Callithrix jacchus: one gene and its partners. The protein of the gene in region 1 purifies or fractionates together with the protein of each later gene. This does not show direct contact. Links are inferred from orthologs where the notes say so. Each region holds a gene or a part of one and is shown in the gene's direction. Other genes may lie near its edges.

What was found. Proteins that work in one complex are often made in the same cells at the same time.
Region 2: the proteins of VDAC1 (region 1) and RAB2A purify together in Homo sapiens (affinity purification with mass spectrometry; 3 studies listed by BioGRID and IntAct, with this or other methods). This does not show direct contact. The link is inferred for Callithrix jacchus from reciprocal best matches to the Homo sapiens genes VDAC1 and RAB2A.
Region 3: the proteins of VDAC1 (region 1) and RAB7A purify together in Homo sapiens (affinity purification with mass spectrometry; 3 studies listed by BioGRID and IntAct, with this or other methods). This does not show direct contact. The link is inferred for Callithrix jacchus from reciprocal best matches to the Homo sapiens genes VDAC1 and RAB7A.
Region 4: the proteins of VDAC1 (region 1) and BSG purify together in Homo sapiens (affinity purification with mass spectrometry; 3 studies listed by BioGRID, with this or other methods). This does not show direct contact. The link is inferred for Callithrix jacchus from reciprocal best matches to the Homo sapiens genes VDAC1 and BSG.

What each region holds. Positions count from the first base shown.
Region 1 is NC_133503.1:74,330,124-74,333,623, forward strand, and holds part of VDAC1 (non-selective voltage-gated ion channel VDAC1), read left to right. Parts: intron 1-1,355; exon of another isoform or gene 1,356-1,570; intron 1,571-1,673; coding exon 1,674-1,746; intron 1,747-2,331; coding exon 2,332-2,381; intron 2,382-3,189; coding exon 3,190-3,342; intron 3,343-3,436; coding exon 3,437-3,489; intron 3,490-3,500. UniProt on the Homo sapiens protein: Non-selective voltage-gated ion channel that mediates the transport of anions and cations through the mitochondrion outer membrane and plasma membrane.
Region 2 is NC_133517.1:16,702,676-16,706,175, forward strand, and holds part of RAB2A (ras-related protein Rab-2A), read left to right. Parts: intron 1-852; coding exon 853-964; intron 965-3,500.
Region 3 is NC_133516.1:73,346,341-73,349,840, reverse strand, and holds part of RAB7A (ras-related protein Rab-7a), read left to right. Parts: intron 1-451; coding exon 452-670; intron 671-1,636; coding exon 1,637-1,765; intron 1,766-3,500.
Region 4 is NC_133523.1:534,400-537,899, forward strand, and holds part of BSG (basigin), read left to right. Parts: intron 1-1,931; coding exon 1,932-2,279; intron 2,280-3,254; coding exon 3,255-3,411; intron 3,412-3,500.

The sequences.
Region 1 (3,500 bases):
TAGGAAGGGGTCAGGCAAAGGGTATTTCTTAAGGATCTGGTGGGTGGTTTCCTGGTCTATCCCTGGGGTGGATGTACCTACAGGGTGAGTTTGGGAGGGGGGAACACGTAGGGAGAAGGAAGGCCCCAGACTTGAAAGAGCCAGTGGCGGGCAGTGTGAAATGGATCATCCCCCCTCATCTCTCTACCCTGATCCTAATGTGAGCTGACCTGCCCATGGTTCCAGCCCGATCATGTGCAAGAAATAACACAGCAGTGACAAAAATAGGACAGAGTCAACAGCTTGCTCCTCTTCTGTGCTCTGACACAAAAGTGAGCTGGGATAAAATTAACAAAGCATCTGGAAAAAGGAAAGTAGGACCTGGATCACAGCTTCACAATTTAAAATTGTAGAAGTTTATACTGTTTCTTTTACAACATACTCAGTGAGTCTGTGGCCTCCTGCAATGCCTTTGCAGTTAAAGCCTTGCTCAAGAATGCAACTTCATTTGTGATATTGTTCCCTTGGGATCATTGGAACCCCTTTTTAGTGGGCTCCCTCCCACTAGCCAGGAGCAAGTCATGCATGTGTTTATTTGTGTGAGTAAATATACATGTAACTTCAGATGGTGTATATGCAGATGCATTTGATAATTCAGGTATACTATATTTTAAAAATGAATGGAACGATCCTTCTGGTTAGTTGAGACTAATGATTCTAGGGATGGAGAAGGTACAGGAGATGAGGCTTTCTCACACATGACCCTCTCTCCTCCTGGGCAGAGCACACAGTATACAGTCCCAGATTAGGATTTTAATCCTGTGTACACAGCATATACAGCATGCCAAAGCAAAGGCTTCCAGGGATGCAGTGTGGTCCTTAGGGCAAAGACTATTTGAGTTGCTCTCCTTCCTTGAACACTGAGGTGCTTAATAAATGTTTATTGATTGACTTAGTGATATGTAGCAATCCCAAGTAGTCCTTTGATGGTTGGTTTTTAAAATAAAGTCATACTGGAGCTTAATAAATGTTTAATTTATTTGGAGGAAGTAGTTGGGTTTTTTCCATGTGAAGAGCTGCCACATTGGTTAGGTTTTACTGTATTATCTGTTAGAAATATGAAGTGGGTTCCCATAAAGTCCAAAAGTTTTGGGAGAAATTGGGTCCATCCTGGCATATAGTAGGTACTCCATAAATATTTGTTGAATGAATGAAATCAGAGCCACATGGAAAATGGTGTTTCCAAGAAAAGCTCTGATTTCTGTTTGGTGCATTTAATGTCCTAGTAGCTGATATTTTGTAAGAGGATATGTTTTATTGGCAAGAGTCCTGCAATTCAGTACAGTCACTGGCTCATGGGTATGTGTCTTTGACAGTTTATTCATTAAGCAAATATTTCCTGACTCCTGCTATGTTCTGGGCCTGGGCTCAGTCCTGAGGATGCTGAGGAGGAGAGGTCTAACGTGTTGATCCTCCTTCAACAAAGACTCATTGAATGCCTCAAGCTCTGGCCACAAAATGAAGGACAAGACAGTGAAGGCTTCTTGGCCCACACCTGGGAGGATAAGCTACCTGGAAGTCTTAGTGCTAGGTGATTTCTATTGGTTGCTAATTATATCTAATAATTTTTACTGATGGAAAACTTCATTTCCCTAATTCCCAATGTATTTATTCTGGTGATTCTTTTATCGTAGCAGAAGATGGCTGTGCCACCCACGTATGCCGATCTTGGCAAATCTGCCAGGGATGTCTTCACCAAGGGCTATGGTGAGTGTTGCAGAGAGGGGGTGCCTTTCAGCTAACAGACCAAGTTGGCATGTTTGATACTTGACCGATAACTGTTTAGGAGACCTGGGTAGGTCAGGTGTTCAGAACTTTCATGTGAGGGAAAGAAGAAGCCGCCTGTAGTGAGTGAAGCAGTTTTGGTTCTGCACCTAGTTGGACGGGCTCCCGCATTGGTGCTGTCAAGTGGATATTCTTGTTTTCTTTTCCAAGTGTGGAGCAGCCCTGTGGAAGCTGCTGCAGTGGAGCGCGGCTTCTATATTTAGCCTGTGCTTAGGCACATGCCCACGAGGCCCTGTGACCGAGTCTGCCAGCTGTCAGGTGTCTTCTTCTCAGTCCTTGCTGGGAGTGCAGGTGGGGCCCAGGTGGGCCTGTGCCCATTCTGTCTGCTGCTGTTCTGTGGCAGCTGAGCTCTTCACATGAGCAACAGCAGAGACTGGGTGCTCTCAGCCCTTGTGGCAGGAGCGTGCTTCTTTTAAAAAAGCATTTTGAAGCAACCGTGAGGGAGGCAGAGATGCTGTTCTCTAGTTAGTTATTTAACCTATTAAAAGTTACCTTTTCTTTCTTTAGGATTTGGCTTAATAAAGCTTGATTTGAAAACAAAATCTGAGAATGGATTGGTAAGTAGTCCAACCCACGTGGAACATTAGCATTTATTTTTTTTTTTAAGAAGATTTTAGATTCAGGGGGTACATGTGCAGGTTTGTTATATGAATGTATTGTGTAATGGTGAGGTTTGGGCATCTAGTGTACCCATTACCCAAATAGCGACCATTGTATGGAACATGGGTATTTGTTGTAGATCAGAAATAATTGTCATGACCTGGCTGGCAAACCCAAAAGAAGGTATTAAAAAAAAAAATTCTGGCAGTTTATGGTTGTCACATTCAGTGCATCCTCTACATGATGGGTGGTCCAGGGGAACCATGCCAATAGGCCCCCAATTCAGCAGTGGGTAATACTCAGAGGAGAATGGGGGCAGGTCTCAGTTTTAGTTTTCCTTATGCTTCTTATTTTCAAATTCACCTGTGTTCAACCACGTAAGAGTTTTTAACGTAATCTTAGTAGTCCCTTCTAGATTGTGAATGCAATAATTGTTGGAAGGAAGAAGTTTCTTTGGCTCAATGCTTTTTCTCTATACCGGGCTGGAGCCAAGATAGAAGGGTGATGCTTTCCTGTCCAGACTGAAGAGTTACGGGGAGGAAGGAAGCTGTCTGCTGACCATGAATTCCCTATAAGATTTCTTTACATAGTAGGCTCCTTGACTCCCATCTGTACTTTAAATATCTATTTGAATGTAGAGTTAGCCTTTGCTTGCGCCTCCCCCCTCCCCCGATTCAGGGCAGAAAGGCAAGTATAGTTGGTAAGGAGTGGAGTGAAGTCATTGAGTGCTGTGGTGCAGTCTGTGCCTCTCTCTCTCCTTTGAAGGAATTTACAAGCTCAGGCTCAGCCAACACTGAGACCACCAAAGTGACGGGCAGTCTGGAAACCAAGTACAGATGGACTGAGTACGGCCTGACGTTTACGGAGAAATGGAACACCGACAATACACTAGGCACTGAGATTACCTTGGAAGATCAGGTAATGGCTACTGTGAAAAGATGCGGACTTATTAATTCACATCTGCTGGCCTGCCTTGTGACTAAACCTACTGGCAAATTTCTTTTCTGTTCAGCTTGCACGTGGACTGAAGCTGACTTTCGATTCATCCTTCTCACCTAACACTGGGTAAGATTCTC
Region 2 (3,500 bases), on another chromosome or scaffold:
GCTATTGCTGATTTTATTTCTTAAAAGAAACCTGAAATCTGGCAAATAATATGTCAAGGCTAGCTGGAAGTATATAGATATTATATTATCCTATATCTTTTTCCATGTATAAATATATAGTAGTAAATAATATCTAAATAAAAAGTAGTAAATATAGTCGTAAAGTTTTTTAACTTTTACAATAAAACACACTTTGAAAAAGACTGCTACTCCCCTCCCCACCACCGACCTCACTAATACCCTCCTTTCATTGGAAATTTCTAGCTTACACTTTCTCCCTCTCTTTCTCCTTTTATCTCTCTCTCCTCGCTCCCTCCCTCCTTCTCTCTCTTTCTCTGTCTATATCAGTTTTGCTTTAAGAAGAAATTGGAAATTAAACAAACTGAGATCAGTGACCTAGTGTCTCTTTAGTACTTTGGATTTACTAAACAATTTCCTATAGTTTCTGAGAGCTATTTTAATCACATTCATAGAAACTCAGTCAGTCTGGCCAATCAAGGAGGATAGTATAGTCCTGCTCTTTCAAATTATGTTGAGTGAAATGGCTCTCTTCTGTGGGAATCCCCTGTACTCAAAATATAGGTATTGGACTAGAGGCTCCCTTAAGTTATGGCTAGTTCTAGCATTTTAGAACTCTAACACAGACTTCTTCTATTGGATTGTTAGTTCTTTCAAACTAGACATATGTTCTAAGTACTAACCCTCAGAATACCCAGAATAGTACAGTTAGTATGTTAAATATTAATTAAAAGAATGGTCATCACAACTTTGAATTCCATGCTGTACTTTATACAAATGCCTCTATTTGTACCATATTGATTAATAATGTGACCCTTTCTTTCCCATATTTAGTGATTTAGAATCTAGAAGAGAAGTAAAAAAAGAAGAAGGTGAAGCTTTTGCACGAGAACATGGACTTATCTTCATGGAAACGTCTGCTAAGACTGCTTCCAATGTAGAAGAGGTAAATAAAAGGCCCTTTAAAAGGTTCATCTTTTTACTTAATAGAAATGTTTTATATATCTTCATTTCATTTATTATTTACTTTAAGATTTTAGTCTGATGGTCTTTGAACATCATAAAGTAGGAAAATTTCTTCCCTTTAAAATGGCTTGTAACATTCATCTTCTGTCAGAATCTTATATTGAGCCTTCCCTTAAAGCCTGAATGCTTTCTTACATCTTTGTACATATTTTTCTTCCCTCTCTTTTTCTAAACAATTTTCTATAGTTTCTTAGAGTTATATTTTAATCACATTCATAGAAACTCAGTCAGTCTGGCCAATGGAGGAGGATAGTATAGTTCTGCTCTTTCAAATTATGTTGAGCAAAATGGCTCTCTTTGAGAATCCACTATACTCAAAGATATAAATATATTGGACTTTTTTGTGTTGCATGGGAGGGAAATAAAGAATACTAATGAAATTTGGAAATGTTTCAAGACACCAAAATATTTGTAGCTGTTTGTATCAACTTCTGCTATTTTTTTAAATCGTATTTTTTTAACTGTCAGTATATTACCACATTACCACTTCTGTTTAAAATAGTATGTTATTGATGTGTAACGTTTTACAAAGCATGAGAATTCTGTTTCATCTATTGAAGAAATTTGTATTATCTCAATTATTCCCATTGGTCAACCTCAACTATTGGAACTTTTCTGAACACAGTGTATTTTTCTATGCTATATGTGTTTGGAGGTGGTATGTATATACATACTATAAATAGATGATTGCATGATTGATCCTTTCTGTGTATTACTATACTCTTATTTTATAAAAAGAGATAATGAAGCTAAGAAAAGTAGTAGTTTACCCAAAGTAATGCTTAGTTCCCAATTTCTGGATAAGAACAGCTTATAAAAGCAACTACAGAAAGTAGTTGTAAAAAACAAATGATTGAAGAATTATTGCTGTAAGGATAACAGAGGTCCGGGTCCTGGGCAACAGCTAGCATCATGTGCCTTCAACATAGTAAGCTGTCAGTAAATATTAGGAATGATACTTGAGGCTGGATGCAGTGGCTCATGCCTGTAATCCGAGCACTTTGGGAATCCAAGGCGGGATCACTTGAGGTCAGGAGTTCAAGACCAGCCTGACCAACATGGTGAAACCCCATCTCTACTAAAAATACAGAAATTAGCTGGGCGTGGTGGCAGGCACCGGTAATCCCAGCTACTCAGGAGGCTGAGGCAGGAGAATCACTTGAACCCGGGAGGCAGAGGATGCAGTGAGCCAAGGTCTTTCCACTGCACTCCAGCTTGGGCGACAGAGTGAGACTCTGTCTCAGAAAAAAAAAAAGAATAATAGTTTGGAGCTCTTCTGATTAACTCTTGAACCTAAAAATTTACTACAGTAATTCCACAGCATTGGTATGTTCACTGAAGAATTCTTTCTTAGGTAAAATATTAGTCATGTATAGTATTTTACAATACAGTAGACAAGAAGTCTCTTAATTATTTTTACTCCTACTTCAAGAACCCAAAGCAAAATTACAAAAAAGAAAAACCCAAAATAAATAGAAGGGAGGAAATATTAAAGAGCAAAGATCAATTAAGTTGAAAACAAAAACCAGTGAAACAGAGCTGGATTTTTTTTAAAAACATCAGTAAAATTAACAGACCTCTAGCAAAACTGACAGAAAAGGTACAAGTTACCAATGTCAGTAACAAAACAGAAACTATCACTACAGATTCTCCAGACATAAAAAAGGTATTTAGGGAATGCCATGAACAGCTCTACCCACATAAATATGACAACTTAGAGGAAATAGACCAGTTTATCCAAAAACATAAACTGCCACAACCCAGCCAGTATGAAAAAGTTAATTTCAGCCTGGCCAACGTAGTGAAACCCTATCTCTACTAAAAATACAAAAATTATCTGGGCATGGTGGCAGGAGCCTGTAATCCCAGCTACTCAGTAAGCTGAGGCAGGAGAATCACTTGAACCCAGAAGGTGGAGATTGCTGTGAGCCAAGATCTCACCATTGCATTCCAGCCTAGGCAACAGAGTAAGACTCCATCTCACACAATAATAATAATAATAATAATAATAATAATACAGAGCAATCTATAATTGCCTTAAAACAAAAAGTTTAATCAAAACACAGCTGTACATACAACTTAAACTAATTAAATTCAGTCCTTTAACACCATGATGACAATTTTAAAAATGAAAATTCATCAGAAGAGGCCTCCCAACCACCATAAAATACTAATGTTAAAATATGGAAAATGTCTATAGAAGCTTAATGGTATTTTTATGAATCCTTAAAGAATACAGATTTTCTTTTTCAAATTGTTAAATTTTTGCTCATAGGACTTTTTCACAAGAGCTCTTTATGATGTCACATTTCTGCAGAGAGCAAATTTTTATACAGATAGTTCTCTCCATATATGTTTAGCATATACCTAACAAATAATAATTAATGTTGAGATTTTTATTATGCATAAACTTTCTTTTTTTTCGAGATGGAGTATTGCTCTCACCCAGGCTGGAG
Region 3 (3,500 bases), on another chromosome or scaffold:
AAATAAAACATACTAATCTTTTATATTGTTTAGGCAAACTTGTCATACAGTAAAATACATGGATTGAACTGTATCATTCGTGAGTAATCACCTCACCTCCCTGTATTTCCATTGCACTCAGAAAGTTCCCAGAGTACTTAAGTCTTAACGTTTATAGCTCAACTTTTATACACCACCTACATGTGACCACTACTTGGATCAAGATATAGGAAATTTCTAGTACCCTGGAGGTTGGACTCAGTGTCACCCGTTCATAGACACATACTCACATATACTATTTGTGAGGATTGTTTTGGATACTCTGGTGCTGAAATTTGCTTCCTGATGTCTGGTGTCACTTGTCTTTGTGGGTGACTCCACAATCTAGCCCATTTCCTCTGGCACCTCGGCATACACACTCATGGTGCTCTGCCAGCATTCTCCCAAGGAATAAATGTTTTGTCTCTCACAGATATGGGACACAGCAGGACAGGAACGGTTCCAGTCTCTTGGTGTGGCCTTCTACAGAGGTGCGGACTGCTGCGTTCTGGTATTTGACGTGACTGCCCCCAACACATTCAAAACCCTAGATAGCTGGAGAGATGAGTTTCTCATCCAGGCCAGTCCCCGAGATCCTGAAAATTTCCCCTTCGTTGTGTTGGGAAACAAGATTGACCTCGAAAACAGACAAGTAAGTACCAATGATGATAGGCATTGTCACACTCACCTGCTCCCCAGGGGCCTTGTGAATTTGGAGAGTTCCCTGCTAAGCTCACAGGTCTGTAGGAGGTGCTGGTGGAAGTCTTTTTACCCTATTCGAGCCCTTCAGGCCAGCGGCCTTTAAGGACCAGGACCCACTCACCTGGGTTAATTAAGTCCCCATGCTGCCCCCAACTGGCTGTGACTTTGGACCATTTTCTTGGCTCTCTGAGCTTCAGTTCCCTTTCTGAACTTTGAAAGAGGGAATTCGATTTTGTTATTCTTAGTAGTCGCCTCCCAGCACCTCCAGGCCATGCCTGGATCTCTGTGTGTGCAGAATATTGCTTTGGGCTTTGAGTGAAATTGCTGTACTGTACTTTCAAATATCATTTCTGTTGGAAACATAGACTCTTTGATTAATTACAACAAGGTTTATTTCTGACCATGGATCTCTTTTTCTCCCCTTCCTAAGTGACTTAGTCCTTATCTCTTGGCTGAAATTGGGCTAGGGGTTGGGGAAGGAATGAGAACGTGTGAGTGGCATGGGTGACATCACACTAGCAGTAATGGGGAAGGGACTATACATCTTAAGACCAAGCTGCTGAGCAATTCCTGTTCTGGGATCTCTGAGGTCCCAGTAAACACTCTTCATTTCTTCCTGGACTGGCTTCTTACTCCATTCACAAATGGCTTTTAAGGTTTGTGAAAGGAGCGTCAGAAGGTATGGGCTATAGACCGAGACAGGCTTTGAGCTGTCTTGCTGAATCCTAGCTATCCTGAACATAGCCAGCAGGGCGAGTTTGGATGGGTCTGCAGATCTCCTCCAATACCCTCTTTCTCTAAGTCTTTGTCCTCACCTGTACCACCTATAGACAAGGGGCCATGACACTTCCTGGGGAGGATGGAGTCACTGCTGGCGGCTTCTGTCATGAGCCTGTGTGCACCCTGCTTCTTTCAGGTGGCCACAAAGCGGGCACAGGCCTGGTGCTACAGCAAAAACAACATTCCCTACTTTGAGACCAGTGCCAAGGAGGCCATCAACGTGGAGCAGGCGTTCCAGACAATTGCACGGAATGCACTTAAACAGGTGGGTCTCCCACAGCTGATCAGCCCCTCTGGTGATGCCTGACCACTGACCCAGCTCATGCCTGGCCTCCTGTCCTTAATCTTCTTCCCTAGCCTACTCTTTTCTATATAGCCAGAAAACCCTATGTGGTCATCTGGGAAGGTTATGACATGTTCTGCTTAAGCTTCCAGAAATCCCACTTTGTGGGGAATAATCTAAAAGAGGCAGAGGCCATGAAGACTGAGGCTGCCCTTTTTTTACTAGGCTTTTTCTTGTTTTCTTTTCATGCAATTGGGAGAGCAGGTCACTGGGAGACCCCTATCAGATTGCTGCTTCTATTTAAGGAGGAAGTAAACTTGAATACGAATCCCAGCTCTGCTCCCTACCAATCATTATATCTAGTTTGGGCTTAAAAAAAAAAATATTATGGCTGGGTGCGATGGCTCACACCTGTAATCCCAGCCCTTTGGAGGCTGAGGTGGGCAGATAACTTCAGGTCAGGAGTTCAAGAGCAGCCTGGCCAACATGGTGAAACCCCATTTCCACTAAAAAATCCAAAAAATTAGCCAGGCCTGGTGGCAGGCACCAGGAATCCCAGCTACTTGGGAGGCTGAGGCAGGAGAATTGTTTCAACCCAGGCAGTGGAGATTGCAGTGAGCCAAGATCACCACTGCACTCCAGCCTGGGTGACAGCAAGACTCTGTCTCAAAAAAAAAAAATATATATATATATATATATGAACTTCTACCCCCTCACCTGAAAAATGGGAATACCTGCTTTTGCAGAGTGATTATGGAGATTAAATGGGACAGACTCTTTCAGCTCTCACATACTGACAGGTAACTTTTTTCCCTAGGAACAGTTAAGTAAACAACACAAGGAAGAAAACACAGGAAAACTATTCAAGGGCTACAGTATATAGAATTTCTGATTTACTGTTTCTGTGATTAGATATAACCACTCATGTGAGTTGAAAGTCTGTTTTGATGTACAACTGTGTTAGGGGCAGTGTTGAGTTAAGGCAGGTCACGAGGCATCATCAGACAGTATCTAGGGGTGGTCAGAGGTATGGTGGATTTGGGGGAATATAGAGAACACTTGAAGCGTGTGGTGGCTGTGAAGGGCAAGGCAGATTCTGCTGACTCCAGGAAGCTGGCTGCATGGAGGTAATGGCTTTCGGTAGGGCAGAGAGTTGTTTGGAATGGTTGCTGCAAGGACCAGGGAAATTCTGGCATAGGTGGGGTCTGCACTAAGTGTTCCAGAATAAAAGGGACAGACCTCTACCCAGTGAGGAAATTGTTCCACCCAGAATGCCAGGAGAGCCCTCAAGTTGTAAGGAGCAGACCAAGATGCAGACTTGGCTACTCTAACCCCCATATAATAAACTGTTATGTTTTTCTTAATGTTCATATAAAGGAATGGAAATCCAAATACATGTGAGAAAGTGCTTCCCACCTGTTTCCCTGTTGCCTGGCATCAGAGTTTTTCTCCTCCATCACTTCTGTCCCTGTTGTCTTATAATAATGCTTTTATTTTTAGAGCTAGCCTCTAAGGAGTTAAATTTTTAGATTGGAAGATGGGTTTTATTGTAAGTTAGGGTGCCAGGTTGTTTTCCCCAGGTGGAGTAACATTTCAGCAGTGTGGGCTTGCTTTCTCCTACCTCCTTGCCAGCAAGCAATAGGTGTCACCTGTCACTCTGCTGACATTGCCAACCTTTGGGTGAGTAAATAGCCACCATCGTGGCTGAGTCCCTCTG
Region 4 (3,500 bases), on another chromosome or scaffold:
TCATGTGGCCAGAATCGAATGCTCACCTTTCTGGGGCCTGTGGCTGAGAGTCAGGCACTGCCCCTCCTCCTAGTGCTCCTGAGTGGAGGCTCCTGGCATGGAGGGCGGGTTGCCCGGTGGGGTGGGGGGCTCTCCAGCGTACCCAGGAGCCTCTATGGAGGCTTTCTCCTCCTGTGGCCCACACTAGTGGCACTTCAGAACAGACACCAGCGCCATCAGCAAACGGAGGGCCCACGGGCGGTTGTTCTGTCCAGAGCCTTTTGGTCCCTTTGGGAGTGATGCCGTCCACCCGCTGAGAAGGTGGAGGACCCAGTTGCAGCACGGTCACCGGTGCAGACGGCCCCTCAGAGCCTTGGACTTCGAGGCACAGGCTGGCTCGGTTTCCCACAGGACGCCTGGGTATTCCCGAGGCTGGAGGCTGGATCACAGGGGCCTCTTCAGGGCCTGGGGGGAAGGTGGGTGGGGGCAGGTTGGCTGCAGGCCTCCAGCTCCTCTGCTCTGCCCCGTGCCCTGGCCCTGCCCTGCCTGAAGGTGGGGTGTGTTGACTCAGGAGCCAGCCCTGCCTTAGCACCCCGGGTGAGGACAGTGAGGAGGATGTGGAGGGCAGCTTCGCAGGGCCTTAGGAGGAGGAGGAGGAGGAGAAGGAGGGGGCCACTGTGGGGCCGGAAGGAGCTTGCCAGCCGGGCTGCCTCTGGCTGCACTTCCTGCCCTGACTCGCCTCGCCAGGCTCTGCACGTCGCTGCTGTTTTGCAGTCTGGGAAATGTAGGTTACCAGGAGGGGACCCTTTGTGAAAGTGGCACTGCCAAACGTTGTTAATTGCTCCTGCCTGGAGTTCACCTCAGGGGGTCAGCTGTGAACATCCCCTGTCCCTGGGGCCTTGGGGCCCATGACATGTGCACTGCTATGCAGTCTCAGAGCTGTGAGCATGTGTGTGTGCCTGTGTGGTGTGTGTCTGCGGACGTGTGTCCTTGAATGCATATGTTATAGCGGTGTCTGGGAGCCTGACCTCAGAGGGCATTCTAGGAGGGGCTGCACAGTCCTGGCAGGAGTTGCAGGTGGGTGGGGTGCGCCCATTCCCCACTTCCTCTGAGTGTTCTAAGACGGGCTGCACGGTCCTGGCAGGAGGTGGCGCAGGTGGGCGAGGCATGTTTACCCTGGATGTTCTAGGGAAGGGCTGCACAGTCCCCGCGCCTGCTCCCCGTGCTTCCCCAGGGCAGGGCAGTTCCTGGCAGGCGGGTGCCAGGCACAGTGGGAGGGTGCGTGTGGATTCTCCTGTGCTCCTTTCAGCTCCGGGGCCTTCCCTTCTGTTTTGAAGGGAGGAGTGGTGGTGGGCCAGTGGTAACGGTCCCTGAGGCACTGCCGGCTCCGTCTTCCCAAATCCTCTTCTCTGGGTGGCTGCCCTGAGATTGCTGAGGACACAAGCACTTTCCACCCGCAGGCCGTCCTAACAGCCTGAGTGGGGCCTCCTGGACAGAGCCCCCTGCCCCTGTGGGCTTTGGGATTTTATTTTCTCTGCAGCTCACCGGATCTCTCGGGTCAGGGTATCGGGCAGAAGGCAGAGGATGCTGCCCTGGGGACCGGCAGTCTGGAAGTTGGGGCAGCCATGCCCACAGTCCTCTGACAGAGAGGCCCTTGGGGCTTAAATTCCTGGCTGTTCTGCCCAGTTTCATGGGTTTTGTGTTTTAAGCTACGTGTGGTTCCTCATTTATGCCATCAGAAGCCAGTGTGTCTGCTGGGAGGGTGGGAGTCAGGGGGGCGTCCACGGTGGCTCCCACGGTCTTTCTCATGCGCTGCCCTTTGGCAGCCCAGCCCCGTCACTCTCCCACAAGCCGAAAGGAAGCAGCTTCCCCCCAGCCCTGGCCAGGAGTCCTGTGGGCGAGGCCTTCCCCAGGGCGGCACTAACGAGGCTCCGCGCCCGCTCTCCCTGCAGCTGGCTTTGTGCGGGCGCCACTGTCCCAGCAGAGGCGGGTGGGGGGCCGTGTGGAGCTGCACTGTGAGGCTGTGGGCAGCCCAGTGCCGGAGATCCAGTGGTGGTTTGAGGGGCACGGTCCCAACGACACCTGCTCCCAGCTCTGGGACGGCGCCCGGCTGAACCGCGTCCACATCCACGCCACCTACCGCCAGCACGCAGCCAGCACCATCTCCATCGACACGCTCGCAGAGGAGGACTCGGGCACCTACGAGTGCCGGGCCAGCAACGACCCGGACCGCAACCACCTGACCCGGGCGCCCAGGGTCAAGTGGGTCCGCGCCCAGGCGGTGGTGCTAGTCCTGCAACGTGAGTGGCGGGCGCCTCCCTCCCCGCCTCCCTGGTTCCCTCCTGTGCCGCTCCTGCTGATAGAACCCAGACGCCTCCTGCCCCTCTCTGCCCTGCTGGGCCCACCACTGGGACAGGGGGGCCCAGACCTGAAGGGGTGGACTCGCCCTTGACCGCCAGCGCTGGGCGACCTGGCTTGGGGCGGGCAGAGCTCTGCCTTCCAGCAGGTGGGTCCTTGTCCTCCCTCGACCCTGCACTGTCTGTGCCGCCGTCCCTCTCTGCTCCCCCGGGCGCCTGCCTGGCTCCTTTCCTGAGTGTCTGTCCACACTGCCAGCCTGAGGGGCCCTCCAGCCTCAGTCCAGGCTTGCTGCCCTCAGAACCTTCTGTGTCCTGCTCAGCGTCTCGTCCTAAGGGATTTTCACATTCAGTCCTAACCGGAACATTGTAAATTAACCAAGAGATTTGCTCGATGGGGATTGGCAGGAGAACCGGGTGCTCCCAGTGCTGCAGTGCCGTCAGCCTGGAATCGGGTGGATGGGGTCACCTGGGAGCCCCATCCAGGGGCAGGTCTCCACCAGCGGGCATCTGAGGGGCCGTCGAAGGAGGCAGCCTTGGCCAGGGAGGCAGCCTTGGCCGGGGGGCGATTTGGCTGTTTTTTTCAGACAGAAATTTCCAGTTTGTGCTGGGGCTGCTCAAGAGCTCTGTGCCCTGGTCCCTGCTCAGGGACGGGGTGGGTGCCTTGTCTGTCCCGACACCTGGGACCCAGCCTCCTGTGTCTCTGGACAGGAGATCACTGGGTGGGGCCCATCAGCTGCCAGCAAAGGCACCTTCCGGAGGTGCAGCCAGATGTTCCCCTCGGGGTGTCAGGGCCACGGTGTAGTTTCAGAGCCGAAAACAAGTCGTTCAGGGAGGAGCTGTGGGTTCCTGGGTGTCAGGCAGGCAGCGCGGGCTGTGCTCTTCCACTGTGTGCTGACTGCGTCTCCCCGGGCCTCGCAGCTGGGGCAGTTTCCACCTCCGTAGAAAACGTCGGCTCCAAGACGCTCCTCACCTGCTCTTTGAATGACAACGCCACAGAGGTCACCGGGCACCGCTGGCTGAAAGGGGACGTGGTGTTGCAGGAGGATTCGCAGCCTGGACAGAGAATGAACCTGGAGTGAGTGCCGGGCCCCGCGACGCCACTGCGTGGCCTTCTCACCGCTCTCTTGCTGCCATCGGCCTCTGTGGGCCGTGAGAACAGGCTTG